Arabidopsis thaliana: one gene and its partners. The protein of the gene in region 2 interacts with the protein of the main gene of each other region in a biochemical or structural test. Each region holds a gene or a part of one and is shown on either strand. Other genes may lie near its edges.

The links.
Region 1: the proteins of FTA (region 2) and ERA1 form a complex in vitro, tested with the Arabidopsis thaliana proteins (one study listed by BioGRID).
Region 3: the proteins of FTA (region 2) and PGGT-I form a complex in vitro, tested with the Arabidopsis thaliana proteins (one study listed by BioGRID).

Annotation. Positions count from the first base shown.
Region 1 is NC_003076.8:16,098,818-16,105,888, reverse strand, and holds ERA1 (Prenyltransferase family protein), read right to left. Parts: upstream 4,499-7,071; coding exon 4,266-4,498; intron 4,145-4,265; coding exon 4,058-4,144; intron 3,923-4,057; coding exon 3,817-3,922; intron 3,645-3,816; coding exon 3,609-3,644; intron 3,252-3,608; coding exon 3,019-3,251; intron 2,870-3,018; coding exon 2,818-2,869; intron 2,535-2,817; coding exon 2,470-2,534; intron 2,343-2,469; coding exon 2,286-2,342; intron 2,121-2,285; coding exon 2,048-2,120; intron 1,964-2,047; coding exon 1,877-1,963; intron 1,781-1,876; coding exon 1,615-1,780; intron 1,534-1,614; coding exon 1,424-1,533; intron 1,346-1,423; coding exon 1,106-1,345; 3' UTR 928-1,105; downstream 1-927. Other genes in the region: AT5G40290 (HD domain-containing metal-dependent phosphohydrolase family protein), read left to right, coding at 47-113, 201-216, 343-453, 556-630. UniProt on the Arabidopsis thaliana protein: Catalyzes the transfer of a farnesyl moiety from farnesyl diphosphate to a cysteine at the fourth position from the C-terminus of several proteins having the C-terminal sequence Cys-aliphatic-aliphatic-X (CaaX).
Region 2 is NC_003074.8:21,941,330-21,946,507, forward strand, and holds FTA (farnesyltransferase A), read left to right. Parts: upstream 1-2,840; 5' UTR 2,841-2,879; coding exon 2,880-3,104; intron 3,105-3,240; coding exon 3,241-3,350; intron 3,351-3,620; coding exon 3,621-3,741; intron 3,742-3,826; coding exon 3,827-3,922; intron 3,923-4,023; coding exon 4,024-4,452; 3' UTR 4,453-4,678; downstream 4,679-5,178. Other genes in the region: AT3G59370 (Vacuolar calcium-binding protein-like protein), read right to left, coding at 731-1,003, 1,189-1,203; AT3G59390 (glycosyltransferase family protein), read left to right, coding at 4,831-4,916, 5,002-5,078. UniProt on the Arabidopsis thaliana protein: Essential subunit of both the farnesyltransferase and the geranylgeranyltransferase complex.
Region 3 is NC_003071.7:16,499,271-16,505,370, reverse strand, and holds PGGT-I (Prenyltransferase family protein), read right to left. Parts: upstream 3,801-6,100; 5' UTR 3,706-3,800; coding exon 3,463-3,705; intron 3,375-3,462; coding exon 3,299-3,374; intron 3,205-3,298; coding exon 3,146-3,204; intron 3,051-3,145; coding exon 2,911-3,050; intron 2,713-2,910; coding exon 2,657-2,712; intron 2,565-2,656; coding exon 2,488-2,564; intron 2,386-2,487; coding exon 2,340-2,385; intron 2,083-2,339; coding exon 1,958-2,082; intron 1,858-1,957; coding exon 1,790-1,857; intron 1,714-1,789; coding exon 1,626-1,713; intron 1,377-1,625; coding exon 1,227-1,376; 3' UTR 992-1,226; downstream 1-991. Other genes in the region: AT2G39560 (Putative membrane lipoprotein), read left to right, coding at 1-247; AT2G39540 (Gibberellin-regulated family protein), read right to left, coding at 4,130-4,311, 4,424-4,505; AT2G39530 (Uncharacterized protein family (UPF0497)), read left to right, coding at 5,970-6,100. UniProt on the Arabidopsis thaliana protein: Catalyzes the transfer of a geranyl-geranyl moiety from geranyl-geranyl pyrophosphate to a cysteine at the fourth position from the C-terminus of proteins having the C-terminal sequence Cys-aliphatic-aliphatic-X (CaaX).

The DNA of each region.
Region 1 (7,071 bases), on a different chromosome or scaffold from region 2:
CGTATCACTCTGATTTAACAGAAGCAAACAAGCTTGACACTAAAAGAAGAAGATATAGCTGTTACAAACGTCAAGATTGATTTAGCTCGTGGGAGAGAAAATCCTCTTGAATGGTAAACAAAGTACAGTTTAGCTTCTCTGTTTTCTCAATTTCCTCATTAAAGTTCTAACCAACTTATCCTTGTGCTTGACTTCTTTAGCATCAACTTCTATAAGGTACATACATAAAAGTCTTCGTTCTTGTTATGCAGATTTGATTCTCTAAATGTGTAAAGAGAGGAAACCTTGAAAATAACACAGAGAATCTCAATAAACAAATTGATTTTTCTATGGTATTTACAGGATTATAATAGTGCAGAGAAGTTTGTGATACCTGAGGACAGAGTTAGCCACTTGTTACCAACAACATATCAAGAAATGATAGTGAGAGTATATGCCAAAAAACCAGAATTGGTATGTGATTATTACTCTCTTTTATGATTACATTACTGTTTCGTTTTATTTAACCACAAAGTAACGTTTTTATTTTTCTGGTTTGCAATGTTTATTCTACAGGTAGAAGCAGTTTCTGAGGCATTTGAAAACTTCCAAATGAGAACGTATGGAATCAAAGCTCAAGTACTGATGTAACTACGTGGCTTAGCCATGATTTACTTCATTACATGGGTTCTTGTTTCTGGGGGGGAATTGGTGACGGTGGAAGTAATAAGTTTTTTTTTTTTTGTTAAATATTATATCTCGACAAGATTTGAAGAACAAAGATATGTTCATGTTTGGTTGATCTATTTTTTGGTTTTAACATCCAATTTTTGGTTCGAAACACCTGACGTTCAGGTGATATCGGATACAAACTCGTTCACTACGAATCCATGCATTTCTACTACACGAGTTTGTCAGAATTCTCTAAAACCAATAACGATGCAAGTCTTTCAACAATCATCAAATTCTTTAAGTCGTAAACCAAAGATATGATAAATGGTATATACGTAATAAAAAAGTAACAGGTTTTAAGGTTAAATTAGTGAAACTTCTTTTGAAATCTTACAAGTTACAACACTACGAAAACTCTTATGTTTGGAGTTTCCCATACATTAGCAACAACGGGTCATGCTGCTTTAAAGAAGAACTCGATAGCTTCATTATACTGATCCATGACAATGTTGTGAAGAAGTTGAACAGGTTCAAGGAGATTCGAGTAGCCACCCATAATGTCGCGAGTCAAAGGAGGAGTGTCCTCGTCTTTTAACCAAGCGTGCTGAGCCACAGACAAGCCGCTCAGGCAGTAACATGTGTGGTAGAAGTCACGGGGTTTCCTCGGCTTGTCTCTGAATCCACCGTCAGGGATCTGCGCATACAAGTGTGTGTGCTTGTGTTATACAAATGTTAAGTGTTAACTTGACTGGATGTTTTGTTCTGGACTGACCTTAGAGCACAAGAGTACATATCTCTGCAAGCCGAGGCTATCAAAAACCAGTTGCATTCTCCTGTTAATGTAGGTGGATGTATGATGGATTCTGTGACCATTCACTGAATCTGCAAATATAAGCTAACTAAAATTTCGTTGTGTTTTGAATTATCAGATGGACTTGATGGTTGAGAAATTTGATTGAATACCTTCATCGTTGTCCTCATCAGAATCATCATCATCATCACTGTCTTCAAGGTCATCTTCATCATGAGCATGATGTTCTTCATTTGTCCCTTCTGATATATGTGATGATCCATGAACGTCATGATCATTGGTTGAATATAATCTTTGTAGTAGAACACAAGGGGCTGCCTGTTTAACATATACCCAAAGGAAATAAGAAAAGACAACAACGGTGAAGAATTTAGAAGTAGGGCCAATAATAATCCTGAAAGATAGAAAGTTAACCTGCCAAAATGTGTAGCAACCATCGACCAATTTGTTCGTCCTACCTTGAAATCCCATTTCTACTCCTTGTCGATGTACAGCCCAATTCTAGAATCATAAGGAAATTATTTGGTAAGGAAAATATCTCTCAGGGAAAATTATTAATCATCTCCAAACAGCATTGTATGTTACCATTAATGAATCCAAATTCAAACGGTCGACCTCATTGATTAAAATCATAGCAGCCAAACCACAGTAGGTATACCTAAACAAAAAACAACTTGGTAATAAGCAAAGCTGCAGGTGACAAATCCTATTTCAGAAAATTAATTATACTTAACCATCAATAACCATGTCATCAAGGAAGAGGGAAGCAAAGCACAATTTTTATCTAAGCCTCAACATAATGGAAGTAAGTAGGAGACCATACCCACCGTGAGCTTCGGAGCCAGGTTCCCCTCCAATGCCACCTTCATAAGTTTGGCAACTGCTCAATATAAATCGAGTTAAAAGAGCTTTCCCAGGGAAATTAATGAATTCCTGAATTTACAACTGTATAACAGTAGTTCAGCTATATATATATAATGCGAGATAAAAGTAATAAGAAAAGCTACCTCAAGATGTAATCTCCTAGGCCCTGGGTGAGTTCATCATCCATAATATTTAGGATGCTTGCAACCTGTGTCACAAGAGAGAAGTCAAACATATCAGGGAGAAAACCAGCCATAGGATGCATTTGCAACACGTGTAAGTCTCAAAACGAGTAATCTCTATTCAAAGTATCTGGTGGGCGCAAGTGTGCAAATAATAAGATCATATCGTAATCTGAATGTGATGTTTAAGCCATGAAAACGGAAGAAACATAGCATAATGGGTCCAGACTTTGTTGATCTCATTAATCCTAAAAAGTTTTGGTGTCCACAAAAACAGAGAAAAGGAAAATAGAAGTTGGTAAAACTCACCGAAATTGCAGTGTAGCATGCACGAACATCCATTTCTCCCATATCATGCATCCTAACGATCAGTGAGTAAGTAGAATTAAGCAAGAATTAAAAAAACAACATGACTGAAGGTATGGCATTAACAGCGATACGAATGCATAAAGAGTGAGCTGTCAGTAAAAATGATGCCTTTAAGAAGTTCAAGCAGAAAGAGAATCAAACCTGAAACCTCCACTTGTATCCTTCATCCGTCTTAAAAAACAAGACATTTTTTCTCTGAAAGAAGAATGAGTCACATGTAAGTATTCTAGAGGAAACATCACTAGACTCTTAATAAAAGAAACTGACCACAAAGAAAAAAGAATGCACCACCTATTAATTGAAGAAAGGGCTTTGTCACCTCCTAAAGTAACAAGTGCATTCACTGCAGCATAAGTAGTTGCAAGATGTGGAAGCTGGGAAAAAATATCTCCATTACTAGTAGAAAAAAAAAGGAAACTGAAAAAGGCAGACCAAAAGTTATATATCCTAACTTTCTCTGCCATGTTTGGAAAATTTACAACCACAAACTTAAACAACTAAATGCTGCTTGAACTAAAGACACCATTTTACGTCTTCACAGAAAAAAACTTAAACTTAAACTACGTGTGCTGCTTGAATTAAAGGCATCACAACCAAACAATGAGATGATGCATAAAAAAAACACCTAAAAGAGATCTGGCAGAATAAAATAATCTGGTCTCAATGTTTATTCTCCAATTGCATGAAATGAAAGTGATCCACACACTTTAAAGAAACAGACATATACTTACTTGGCCAGGACCACCACCGTATCCACCTTCAGAGCCCTGACAAGCGACATGAGAAAGCAAACTAAGTACATAAAGAACAATAACAGATAACACTAATAGCAACGGGAAAAGAAAACGTGAACTAAAGGAGCAGAAAATCAAGAAGAATGCAAGAGCAAATATGAAGAGTTTTCATGATTGGGTACAAGCAAAAGGAATTGAGCCTAACCTGGCAGCGTCCAAGGAAGTCAATGGCATTGCTTTCTAATTCATCATCCACAGTCTCCCCAAGCAAAGCTATTGAATGAAGAATCCAGTAACAAAGCCAAGGTCGACTGTTCCAAAATCCAAAAAAGCCAAAATCAAACTTCTAATCTATTGGCAAAAATCCAAAGGGGCTTTACTCTCTCACTGGACAAAATGTACTAAGAAATTCATGAAAACAAGAAGCCAAGCATCATGTCACTTACTTAGCATCTAAGGAAGAAAACTGCGGACCAAGCTGCCTTAAGCCTTTCATCAGATAATCCAATTGCTTATCTCGCTGAATCTCCATCCTAGGATAGAACAACTTCCATATCAGTAAGATTCATCTATCGACGAAAATAATTCTTTCACGACGCTACTAAAATTCATCAGATCATGAAGAAAACTAGAAAATCAAATCCGTGAGCTTACATGTATTTTTGAGTAGAAACGTCGCTGGCGTCGAAGTAATTATAGATCCCGAACACATCGTTCTCCACCAGAAATTGCTCGCGCTGACTCACGGTTAGGCTTGAAAGCTCTTCCATCACTCTCCGCCGCGTTGATTCCCCGTGTCCTCCGTGACAGATTCGCCGATTGAGTCCACTCCGGTCAAGTCTGAGCCCTACACACTTCAAACGAATCAAGCGGGTTACTACTGGCATCTAAATTTCATTGCCAATTTGGTTCCGGTTTAATACCGGTTCGGTTTGGTTTAAGATTCTCAAACAATTAATTTTACTATACGCTTTAATGTTTAATCTGTTGCTTCTTAGTATAATTTCCTCTTGACAAAAAAAAAAAAGAGTATAATTTCTGTTACGCCCAGACCAAACCAGATTCATTGTTTTATTTATAAGATTAGTTAGAGCATCCTTATCAATAGGTTGTTAACAATATCATAAGAACTATCAAAATATTATATTAAATAAAATAAGAATAAAAAAATAAAAAAGTGTGCTTAAGAAATGAAAAATGGCTCTTAGCTAAGTTTTTTTTTTCTTTATTCTCTTTTTTTGTAAGAGCCATTCTAATGTTTAAACATTATTTTGTATATCAAAATTGTTTAGAACTTTATGTAAGAGTTCATTGATAAGGATGGTCTTAGAAACTTCTTCCTAGGCTAGGTCTATATTTCTTTAGGGCTATATTATTGCTTGCTCTTAACGGAAAAATACATAAACCTCGTTTCATCTTCTCCATGGCCACTTCTAGTAGCAATTTATTGGGTTTGTTTTTGGTTGCCTCTCTCTCTCTCTCTTTTATCTAATGTGTTAAACTTGTCTCAAGAGTTTTTTTTTTGTTGCTCTTCTTTTAGGTAAGCGTAACCCTGAAGAAGATGATTTGGTGACCAATTCCATTCTCAAGAGACATAAGTAGAATAAGGTAACCCTAAGATGGCCTCGTATTACTCTTCTTCTTTGACAAAACAATCTTCTTTACACTGTCTTCTTCTAATGGCTACTCTTTGATCTTGTATCATATGTAACAGGAGGAAACAACCAACGGATTTGCTAGATATTTTGTACAAATTTCTGTTCAATTAAGAATCTTGTGCTAACACACTTGGCTGTTAAATCCAGGTGACAAAAAAGACGCTCTTTAATGGCCATATCCCTCCCCAAACTAAAATATCAGATATGTAAGTAGCACCATCTTCAATCTCCACTTTCCTTCTCTGAGCATGACTGATATTTTTACCTTACACTGTTTGTTACAGCATCAATTTCTTCAAAGATGCTGGAGAAGTTGTTCGTGTTCGACTTTTTGTAACCGCCAAGCGTATCCATAGGTGCTATGGCCTTGTTGACTTTGCTTCTGCTAACGAAGCAAAAAAGGTTTAGACTAGTTTATAGTTAGTTATGATGAAAAATATATAGTGTATCTAAGTTTCAATTTGAATGTACGATTGCTGAATAAACTCTTTATTACCGTAGGTGCTGTATAAGAAGAACGGTGAATATTTGCACGATTATAAGATTTTTCTTTATGTGTATTCACGACGTCCACAGCCTCCACGACGTCCACGACCTCCAGGACTCAAGTAAATTCAATTTTCCATGTTATTGACATTTGTTTCTGGTGACACTGGTTATTAATTACTGTTAGAGCTTTTGATACAATATTACTGCTAGACTAACGCTTTTAACTTTGTTAATTAGGTATTGCATAGATTACACGGTTTGGTATGGGATTTTAACTATTTACCTCTTGAGTTTGATTACACTGGTTGAATTTTTGAATACATGAAGAGCTCACTAGGTTTTCTTAATTTTTCAGCTACAACGACTACCTTCAACGAGAAAGCCTTCCGATAGAAGAAAATGAGACACCTTCCGATTTTGTTGAGGTACCTCTTCAAAATATGTCACGCTCACACATTTTAATAACAGAACTGTTGCCACAAAGTCGAAAGATGACTTCTTTTTAGGGATGAATATTATTCACACACTAAAATATTGCCAATCTCTATTTTTTTGAATTCAGGAAGTACTCTATGTTGCCAATCTCTCTCCCCAAACTAAAATATTGCATGTGTAAGTAGCACCTCAAATTTCCACTTTCATTCTCGGACCAAGTTTTCTATGACTGATATTTTATCCTTCACTTTTACAGCAAAGAATTCTTCAAAGATGTTGGAGAAGTTGTTAGTGTTCGACTTATTGTAAACCAAGCATGTGGGCTATGGCTTTGTTGACTTTGCTTCTTCTAACGAAGCAAAGAAGGTGAGAGTAGTTTTGTTGTAATTATGAAAAAGGTATTCAAGTAGTCATTTGAAAAGTACAATTGCTGACTAAATCTTTTATACTGTAGGCGCTGCAAAAGAAGAATGGTGAATATTTGCATGATCATCAGATTTTTCTTCAAGTGGCTAAGACAGCTCCATACCCTACACGACCCAAGTAAATTGATTTTCACGTTTTCTGTAACACTGGTTGTGACTTATTCCTGGAGTTTTGATACCCTTACAGAAGACTAACGCTATTATTTTTGGTAACTAGGTACAACCTTGCAGAGAAGCTTTGGTAAGGGATTTAACTATTTTCCTTGTGAGTTTTGTTATCATGAGCACATTGGGTGTAGTTCTTGGTATGAGATCACTAGAATTTTTGATGTTTCAGTTACGAAGACTACCTTCGACGACAAAACCTTGTGATAGAATAAGATGAGACAGCAGTGGAAGGACTTGATGAAACTCCCAATTTTGTTGAGGTACCTGTTCTTATTATCTTCAAAA
Region 2 (5,178 bases):
TGAGCTAGTCAGCTAGCAAGCGAATTTGATTTACTTCTAATAAGTTTCATGTAACTGCTTCAGCGTATAAGGAAAGAAAGGTGATGTCCGATGAGGCAGCTGACTACTTTGCAAGTATGTGGCCGCCTCTTCTTGAAAACGTAAGGTCTTCTTATAATCTTATTCAGTTTTCTAAGGCATTTTGTAAGTTTGGATACACTGAATGGACTAACTGATCTTTCTTCTTTAACCCACTTTGTGAAACATTTGGTTTATTTCGAAAGTCTCAAAAAGAGGAGATTGAAGCATTGCAGGATGGAACTCTCACCCCACAAAAGACTAGGCGGTTTTGTATCTTCTTCTTTTAGTACTAGATATTAACTTGTTTTTGTAGCTCTATCTATATCTATCTCAAAATGATATTCCCCATACATAGATAAATTATGACTTGTTTAATTTGTTTGTTTTGATGAAATTTGTGTATAATTTGGCGGTACTGTTTCGTGTTGAAGAGCCCAAGCTTGTTTAAATTGTTTCTTGTTGGGTTCTGTCTAGCTTCTGTTGATTTACGACTACAATACTATGTTCATGTAATCACACAAAAAACGATATGAGACCAAAAAAACATAAACAGTTCAAACAAGATGGGCTCTTCAACACGAAAGAAAGGTGAAATGTTGATAAAATAAAATAAACAGAAAACGATATGAGATCGAAAAAGGTCGGTCATATAGAGCTTCTTCCTTCCTCTTTACTCCTTGGCCTTCTCGACGGCGACTTCCTCAGCAGCCGCAACTTCAGTCTGTTTCTCCTCCAACGCCTCAGTCTTCTTCTCCTCCGGAGTTTCAGTCACTTCTTCAGCTTTCTTCTCCTCCTCCACAACTGTTGGAGTTTCAGTGATCACTGCTGCCTTCTCTTCTTCATCCTCATTTGTCTTCTCTGCATCTTCCACAAACACTTCTTCCGGGTGTTGATTCACCTCCGTCTCAACGATCTCTACTGCTACTGAAGTCACGTGTTCAACCTGTAAGCGAAAACACACTTATTAAACGAAAAAATGCATGCCGTTTAAACGGCGAATAGTCCATATCACTTGATAGACATAGATTTCTAGATACATGATATATATATATATATATATTAACAACGAATATGAACCATAGATACAGGTTTATAGTTTGACAAAATAAAAATAAAGAGAATATATACCTCAACGGTGGCCATTTCGAAGGAAAATATAGTGTATGTGATGCTTTGGTGTATGAAGAGATTTGATCAAGATGAGAGGTATTTATAGTAGAAGCAAACCGTTTACAATAATGTTTTTTCAAACTAAATATCTATTAAGATAAAATTATTAGTTTTTTGAAAGAACCATGATGATGATTATTGCACATGAACGAACCTTTTTTTTGCTTATATATAAAAGCAATTGTACTATTTTACACCTCATGCCCACATAGTATGGGGTGACTGGAGAGGGCTTTAGAGGGTAGCTGTTACTTTATATAAGCTGTAAAGTCTTATACTGTGATTTTTATTTTTTAAAAAATAAAGCTATGACTTAAAAAAAAATATAGTTTTACGAATTTTTACTTTAAAATAAGTTGTAAAGTTATATACATACTGTAAATTTTATTTTAGGAATTTTTTCATATTTTTAAAAAGTACAAAATAAAATATTGTTTTTGTTATTCCTCAGCTCTTGTGAAAAATCATTACTTAATCTTCATTAATCGATTGTTTAGGTCTTATTAATCATGTGTTGAGTTGGGACCATGATTAAGCAATAAGAGTCATTTACCTCCTGTCAAGTATGCATATGCATATACTTTTGGTTGTTGAATATTGTTGGTTGCAAGCAGTACAATCGGGAGAGAAAGGATCGAAAGATCGACAAAGGTGTTGCTAAAGCTGAGGGTGCTGATTAATCAAGGATTAATCAATACGATATCTGAAGCTAAAACTAGAACACCAAAATGTTGATTCATGATCTTAACTCCTAAACATTTCCTTGGTTAATGAAAGAGTTCGTTCATCTTTCAAACCATTGACAATAATAGCAGCTGTCACCTCTTCTTCACCATTACGGGCTTCTTCTTGATGTAATGGTGAATAGTAAGGCCTCTATGCTGTTATACAATGCTTTAAGTACAAGGATTTAAAAAATATTTACAAGCCTTTTTTTAAGAGTTTTAAAAGGATTTACAATGATTTTAAAGGATTTTAAAACTTTTATAATTCCTTTTAAAGTCATTTGAAAACTTTTGTAAATGCTTTCAAAACTCTCAAAAAATTTTTTTTTTTTTTTTTAAACTCTTAAAATTATCCTTGTTGTATATATTATTTAAAGCCTTTTAAACCCTTAAAATATATTTTACAATGGTTTTAAATGATTTATAAGGATTCTAAAATATTGAAAAAATGTTTTAAAAAGGATTTTAAAGTATTTACATGTATATTTAAAAACTTTATAAGGATTTTAATAAGTTTTAAAATGGTTTACAAGAGTTTTTAACAATTTTACAAAGCTTTAAAAAACTTTACTAGGATTTTCTAAGAATTTTTAAAGGATTTACAATGGTTTTTTAAGGGTTCTAAACAAAATTAGAAAGACTTTAAATGCAATTTTTTGGCGGGAAAAAACAGAGAAAATAAAATTTTGGCACTTAAAATTTAGGTGGGTAAGTTTTGGTTTCTAACTACATGTTCTCATTAGATTTGATGATGATTAATTTAGTCATTTTGGTTAAGAAAGTGGTTATTTTTAAAAATGGGCCAAAAAAGGATATCATAGTAGAATTGTGGTTTGGGCTTAAAAGCCCATTACCCCTCCCCTAATTAGTTTTCAACTTTTCATGGAGTCTTCGGTTTTCGACTTTGGATCGGAGTCGGGGAACATGAATTTCGACGAGACCGTGCCACTGAGCCAACGATTGGAGTGGTCAGACGTGGTCCCATTGACTCAGGACGATGGTCCGAATCCAGTGGTGCCAATTGCCTACAAGGAAGAGTTCCGCGAGACTATGGATTACTTCCGTGCGATTTACTTTTCCGACGAGCGATCTCCTCGCGCACTACGACTCACGGAAGAAACCCTCCTCTTAAACTCCGGCAACTACACAGTAATCAATCTTATAATTCATATAATCAACAACTATCTGAACTCTTATGGTTTTGAAATTTGATGGATTTTAGTCTTTTATTGGTCCTTGTTGCTTCAATTTTTAGTCTTACCGATATTTTTGTTTACCTTTGAAGGTGTGGCATTTCAGGCGCCTAGTACTCGAGGCCCTTAATCACGACTTGTTTGAAGAACTCGAGTTCATCGAACGCATTGCTGAGGATAACTCTAAGAACTACCAACTGTGGTAAAGTTCATACCTTTTCACACCTTGTTTGATCTATGTGCTTTTGATCATGAAAGTCTATGAGTGAGTTATACTTTTGAAAATTGTCTGATGAATAATTTTGAATCAATAAATGTATATTCTACTTCTCCATAGATGAAAGTTTGTTCTTGTACACATTGTTAAGTTCATAGTGTCTCATATCTGCTGATTATACAACGTTAAAACCCTTGGTTGTTTGTTTTGAGTTTGATGGTCCATGCTTCTGCTCTATGTTTTCCTTTTCTCTAGGCATCATCGGCGATGGGTTGCAGAGAAACTGGGTCCTGATGTTGCAGGGAGAGAACTTGAATTTACCCGTAGAGTACTTTCACTTGATGCCAAACATTATCATGCTTGGTCACATAGGCAGGTTTGCGATCTCAAACCTTGTTAAAGCATTCACTTGGGGTATCATTGCATATCTTTTTGTTTGATAATATGGAAACAATCTGCAGTGGACACTACGGGCATTAGGAGGATGGGAAGATGAGCTCGATTACTGTCACGAGCTCCTTGAAGCTGACGTCTTTAACAATTCCGCCTGGAATCAGGTAACTTGATCGTTGATACACATACGAAATTCTGTATCTCTAATCTATCAATTGCCGATTCTGTCACCTATTTGTATAATCTCATTCCCTTAATCTGACAGAGGTATTATGTCATCACCCAATCTCCTTTGTTGGGAGGCCTAGAAGCCATGAGAGAATCTGAAGTAAGCTACACAATCAAAGCCATTTTAACCAATCCTGCAAACGAGAGCTCATGGCGATACCTAAAAGCTCTTTACAAAGACGACAAAGAATCCTGGATTAGTGATCCAAGTGTTTCCTCAGTCTGTTTGAATGTTCTATCCCGCACAGATTGCTTCCATGGATTCGCTCTGAGCACCCTTTTGGATCTTCTATGTGATGGACTGAGACCAACCAACGAGCATAAAGACTCAGTGAGAGCTCTAGCTAATGAAGAACCAGAGACTAACTTGGCCAATTTGGTGTGTACTATTCTTGGTCGTGTAGATCCTGTAAGAGCTAACTATTGGGCATGGAGGAAGAGCAAGATTACAGTGGCAGCAATTTGAATATGTGACGCCCCAAAATCACACTTGAAAAAGACTTGATTATTAGTTTTTACGTATGTACTGCTTATTTATGAATCACATGTTCATGTTAACATGTATCAAAACAATCTTGATTTCTCAGTTTCCTTCGCCTTGTGATATTCAGAGAAGCTTTCTCAAGAATGATTTTGCATCACACACTTTGACTAAACGCATTGCTCTCTCGATAACCGGAAGATCAAAACCGAAACCGGGTTTTGGTTTGGCTCGCGGATTTCCCCAATTCAATTTTAACGACAAAACTATACTAATTCATAAGATTAAAAAAAAAGTTTCTGAAGTGGTCGAAGTCGGAAGCGTGATTTGGTCGAAAGATTGGTTCTTTCTCCGACAAGAATTATGTCCAAATCTGGGTTTAGTCTGCTGTTCCTCGTTCTTCTACTTATCATGGGTTTCTTATTTCCGTTGAGAGTTTCTGCAATTAGGTGATTAATTTTGGGTAACAACCATTGCTTCTATGAATTGTCCCGCTTAGTTTCATTTCCTTGAGATTTTCGAATGAATTTGCAGGAAGGATATCGGATTTTTGGAAGAGCGGAGTTGCAGAACAACTGTCCAAGGAAGATACTTGATCTCCGATGATGAAGGTTAGCGATTTCCACTCTTGGAAAGATTCACCTTTTTGAACATTTTGAATCTCTTTCGACTTAGATTTGGTGATCCATGAATGGTTTGTTGTTGCAACTT
Region 3 (6,100 bases), on a different chromosome or scaffold from region 2:
TGCTTCTCCTTCGTTGTTCACGCCTCCTTTAACTCCATTGCTAATGGAGTCTTGTAATGGTAGAAAAGAAGAGATCTCGAGTTTGTTTGAGTCATCCTCTGATGCTGAGTTTAATAGACTAGTGAGATCATCTCCATTGTCATCATCACATTCACCGTCATCTTCGCCATTGTCGAGATTCAAGTTCTTAAGGGATGCAGAGGAGAAGCTTTACAAGAAGAAAGTGATGGAGATTGCAGAAGCTTAGTAAATTCAAGTGGTAAAAGTTTGGTAAAACACAGTTCAAGAATCGGATTTGGTAATCAAGATTCAAGAAGATGAGGTCTAGGAGAGAAAAACCAGGAATGATTAATAGAATTAAACCGGTTTTTAGTCTGATTTAATTGTCCTTAATCATCAACATTTTTTTTGGTCTAGCTCGTCATCGGATTAAACCGGTTGTAAATTTTCGGTGGATAGAGAATTTGTTAGCCAAATTTGTGGATTTTGAGTCAAATCACGCGAATAAAGATAGGCTTTGGATTCTATTTTCTTGTAGCAAAGTTACCACAAGTGTTGTGGTTGACATTTAAAGATGCATGAACTCAACACTCAAATCCTAAACCGACTTTCACTTTTAAAAAGGAATTAATTCTCGTTTTATCGAATATGGAGTTAGAAAGTTAAACAGAACACGTGAAGAGAAAAGGTAAAAGAATTATATACTAATCTAATTTGATTTATTCGAGATCATTTGCATCAAAACACACTACAGTAAGAATGATTCTTTTTACGGCATTGAAGAACATCGACCGGTAAATTGGAATAAGACGATTTATGAATAGAGACAAGACTCATGAGAGGCCAAGTGGGGAATCTCTTCCCCTTTAGGATTTTGTCCCAGTTTTTGCAGTTTATGTCTGATACTTTTCCATCCAAGTGGCGTCAACAACACCACTCACTCGTTAACAAAGCGAAACTGCAATCTTACAATAGTCTTTTGTTTTTTTTTCCCGAACTTTCTTACACAATCATGCAACATCTTATTCACAGATTTATGATTTAAAAGTTTTTGATTTTTCGTCCCTAGTCTAAAAAGAACAGAAAATAAAACTCAACAACTAAATTTGCTTTTCTTTGGTTTACAATATTCATTCTGTGAGTTTTAGCAATGTTACCACACGGAATGTTGACATAAATGTTACAATGTGGTGAAAAAAGAATGTGACTTTGAGACAATCTAAACATCAAATTCCCGGGGCTGCAAGAAGAGGTAAACCTAGCTCAGGACATAGAGGACTCAAGCCCTGTTCTTCCAAGAGACTAAAAGCCGTGTAACCGTAGTATGAATGATACAGATCTGGTAATTGTCCGGGGAATTTACTGAATCCACCATACTGGACACAAAAATGCACAAACAATGGCGGCGTTAAGCAGATTGTTATCATCAGTAACCGATCATGAATCGTAGATGTAAACACATGAATGAAGACAATGTACCAAACTATCCTAATGGCTCTATAGGCTGCTACTAGTAATATTGCTAAATAAATATTAGCTTAGTTGCAGGTTTGCCTATCTACTCAGTTACTTTACAAATTTAGAAATTAATATCAGCTGAGATATGAGATGTAGAGAATAGTTACCTTGGACTGACAACTCATTAAAAATTTGCGCAGAGCCATTTTGTCGATCAATGCATCGCCTCCTATAAGTTTAAGGACAGCTCCAATCCTACAAATATGCAAGGCCCATCATAAGCAGATGAGAACAATTAGGGTCGGTGACAGCAAAAGTTGAGGGGACTAACCAAAATGCATAGCATGTGTCACTTGGCTTGTTAGTCCTACCTTGAAACCCACCATCATTTGCTTGTCTCTACAGGCAAGGTAAGAAAAAATTTCAGATCACTCAGGCCATTACGAATCTAAAGGTAATATTTATGAGGTGAAAGTTAACAGATTTTATGAAGCAGTACCTGTAGGCACCAGTTGAGAAGTAATGAAGGGTCTATTATTGAACTGGATGAATCATTTGACAGCAGATCAACTCCAATGTATCCCATCAACCGAAGGGATGCAATAGCACAGTAAGTGGCACCACCTGCATAACTAAGTTGCAGAACGTAGGTAAGCATCATACACGAGTGGAGTCAATTAAACACATTTCCCTCATAACGTAAGAACATAGTAAACTTCTTTTCTTTATGGGTTGCCATTGAAGTAGAAACCTAGATGAAGGAACTAAATTATCTAAAGTGTCCTCAATGATCAATTCAGTAATAACATATGCGCCACTTAGTTGGACTGCACATGGAAAAAATCAACTGTGAGATAGTAGAAAAATTGTTTTCAACTCACCATGAGATTCAGAACCAGGGATCAATCCAAAACCACCATCATATGACTGCACAAAGAATGTTGCACAAGAATGTCTTCTCAACACAGAAATTGACAAATATCAATGGAAGAAAAAAAGACAAAAGCAACTACAAGATCAGAAGTAAACCTGACAGTTTAATATGTAGTTCTTAGCACTCTCCTTATCCATTCCACTCCAACTATCCAGCATGTAACAGATTGCAGCTGAACCACAAAAAAAAAAAAAAACTAGATTGATACTCTACGTAAAGTATAAAGACATGGTATGTAAATCCTGTTAGGTAGCTATTCCTTACCTGCACAATATACAAATCGAAGATCCGTTTCACCTCCAATATGGATAGGCATGAAGCTGTAGCAAAATAAAAAAGTATCAAACACAATTCAGACCCCATTGCTTATTTAATCATTATATGCTGACAAGCCAAACTTGTTGCACCATGTAAATGAGAATATTGCTAGCCTAAACGACTTAGAACAAAGAAAATAAGTAATAAACTTATGGCATTATAAAATGCATTTTACTTTTTTAAGCTCTAAGAACTAATACCTTCCATCATCCTGTTGAAGGTTTATCATGGAAATTAGCAATGATTTTGAGTCGATGGTCGAGAGATCATGTCCAATGACCTTCAGAATAGCCAAAGCACAGTAAGTGCTTGCCAAGTGACTACCGTTGTGCTTTAAATCCTACGCAACAAACTAAACTGTCAAGCCCACACAGATGCAAAACAAAGATAAATCTTGTAACATATAAAGCATAAGGAATATAGACTTATAATTACCCCATTCTCATCAATGGGAAACTGAGAACTCCTTGAACCAAAGAAACCATAGAATTCTCCTGCAGAGAAGAACAAGAACATCTCATTCATTGATCACTAACTAATTAACAATTTGCTCATAAACATACTTCTAACTAAATTCAAGAAAAATACCATCTTTCAGTGAAACTCTGTTAGTAGGAAAGGCCTGGAAGGACAAAACCCACTTTGCAACAACATCTTTATCAACCTTCAGAAATTATAGATGAAATTCACTAAATCAGATTCAGGGGAAAAACAAAGATCGATTCTTTGAGAGAGAGGAGAAAGAGACTAACACGGTCTCTTGCGCCGAGAAAATGAAGACCCGAGATTATGAAATGAGCGAGTGTAAGACGATTGATCTCCTGAGATTGGTAATGGTACGGAAGCAACTCGTACATCATCTCCAAATACATCAAGTGTCGATCTTTCTCGAAATTCGCTGACGGAGATGATTGCACCGGTGGAGAATACTCTTCTTCGTCTTCTTCCTCCGACTTAGATCGGTCCGAATCGATTGACACGGCGGTCTCTGACATAGCGTCGTTCTCCGGTAGTGAGTCAACGAATCTCTCAAAACTCGCTTGGACTCACTCGGCTTTGCTTTCTCTTAGAGGAAAGTAAACAGTTTTTGGATCTGTGGTTTTCAAAAGTCAAAAACAGCACGATGTTACTTTGTATAATCACAAAACGGCGCAATGTTTAGGTGCTCTGATAATTATCTACATGATTAAAGATTAAAGATTCGTTGATGTGTTAAGAAATTAGATTAAAGATTAAAAATGAGATTGAGAAATTTAAACTTTTTTATTCGTGATATATATTAAGATATCACATTGAAGATTTCCAACATTGGGGGCATTGATTTTATTTTATATATTTCAAACATAGAATGTGATTAATATTTCCACACATATAGTACGTAGAAGTTATATGTATGTGATGAGGATCTTCAAAGAACGTTCAAGGACACTTGGATCCACCTTTGGAGTTTTTCATATCACGGTAGCAAGGACATTCATCTTTGTGTCCAAAAGTTCCCGAAGGAACACAATTACACTTCTGGCAACATATATTGCAGTACTTGAGGCATTCTTCATGTTGTCCTGCCTTTGAGCATCTCACATTGCACTTTCCACCGCATGCTGCTAATTCATTTATCACATATATATGTAAAATCTTAGAATTTCAGAAAACTTGTTTCAAAATGATACATGCATGACCTACAATTATTAACTAGATTAAGTAAACACTTACACGAATCAGCACTTGAAAGTACAGAAAATGAAGATGTGAGGAGAAGAGAGATTATGAAGAATTGTACAACCACGAGCTTCATCTTGTTTTCTCGAAAGAGTTTGCTACGTATACAAAATTTAAAGATATGCGAAAACAAAGTAGTGATGGTGAAATGTGGCTACAAAGAGAGGAATCCTTAATAGTGAGAATTTGAAGTGAAATTAATGTTTGTTACTTTAAATAAAGATATCTTTACTTGTTATGTCGGTACTATTTTCAGTTAAAAATATTAACATACAGAAAAAACCATATTCATAAACTTTTTTGACTAAGTAAGTAGTATAATACTAGTATTGAAAGTTTTTTTTGTAACCAGTATTGAAGCATTTTTTAAATTGTAAATTTATTTCTTATAGTGCACATTCATTTCGAATTACATGAACTTACAACAATTTTGAGATATTTTTGAAATCCTGATGAATGATGATTATGACACACAGTTTGTAACACTAACAAATATTCATTTTTATTATTATGTATAACTATTGAAATTCCTTAAGTCACATCTAATATATATTATAGATTAAAAGTATAGCATTAGATGTTGAAAAAAAAAGATTTAACTGTAGTAATAAGCAAGAAGACAGTGAGCCGCCCTTCAAGCACGGCGATGCATGTGGCAGATTGATTCTTAGGAATTGACTCAACTTTTTCGGTCTTCGTTGACTATATATTCAAAAATTGTAAAATTTAACTCAAACAAAAATGTACCTCTTGTTACATGTATTTTGTTCCTCTAAACAGTATGAAAAAAAAACTAAGTTTTCTTTTTAATACGAATGATTGCACCTAAAATTGATAGACGACTAAGTCTATACTGTTACATTAGATGGAAACATGGTTTGAATTATCGCTGCTAGGTGTCCAACTCGAACTTTGTACAGTTGTACTAGGATTCTAATGATTTGCTATGCATATAAAATACATTGTGGCGCAAAAATTACGCTAGTCGCATATTTCTTTTTTGGTTTGTTTGTTTGATTGCATAATTATGATTTGATGTCAAAAGTTGTATAATCAGAATTTGAGAACAATAATATGACAAAGAAAAACATTCTTTTTTCTCAGTTAGATGTAGATACAAGCTTTGTCCAAAAAAAAAAAAAGATATAGATAATAAAAATAATATCAAAGGTTGCCTTCTGGCTACGAAGACTATGAATTTAGACTTACAATTCCTTGGCTAAAAACTGTTTTAAATCTAAATTAATACCATATGTCAATAAAATATATCACGACTTCAATTACTAAGTTAGAACTTAGAAGTGGTGATCGAGTTCCAGCAAGCTCCAGCACGAATTGAAGAATACAATTTGTGCATATATATATTTTACATTATGGTTAAATATTATAATGTAACAAAAATCAACTCTTCGAACTCGAGTCAACGTAAATTTTGGCTATAAATTAGTCAACATTCCATGTCTTGCATTCGAACATCTTAGCCTTAATCATTTTCATCTTACTCTTTAAAGCGTAACGATTAATTAACGGGAAGATTTATATGGCTCCACCACCTCCGGCACCACCGTCCGTTACGTTGAGGACAGTGCTCCTTCTCCTTAGGGTTTTGACCGCGGCTTTCCTCCTCATAACGGTGGTCCTCATCAGCACCAACACCGTCACTCTCGAAAT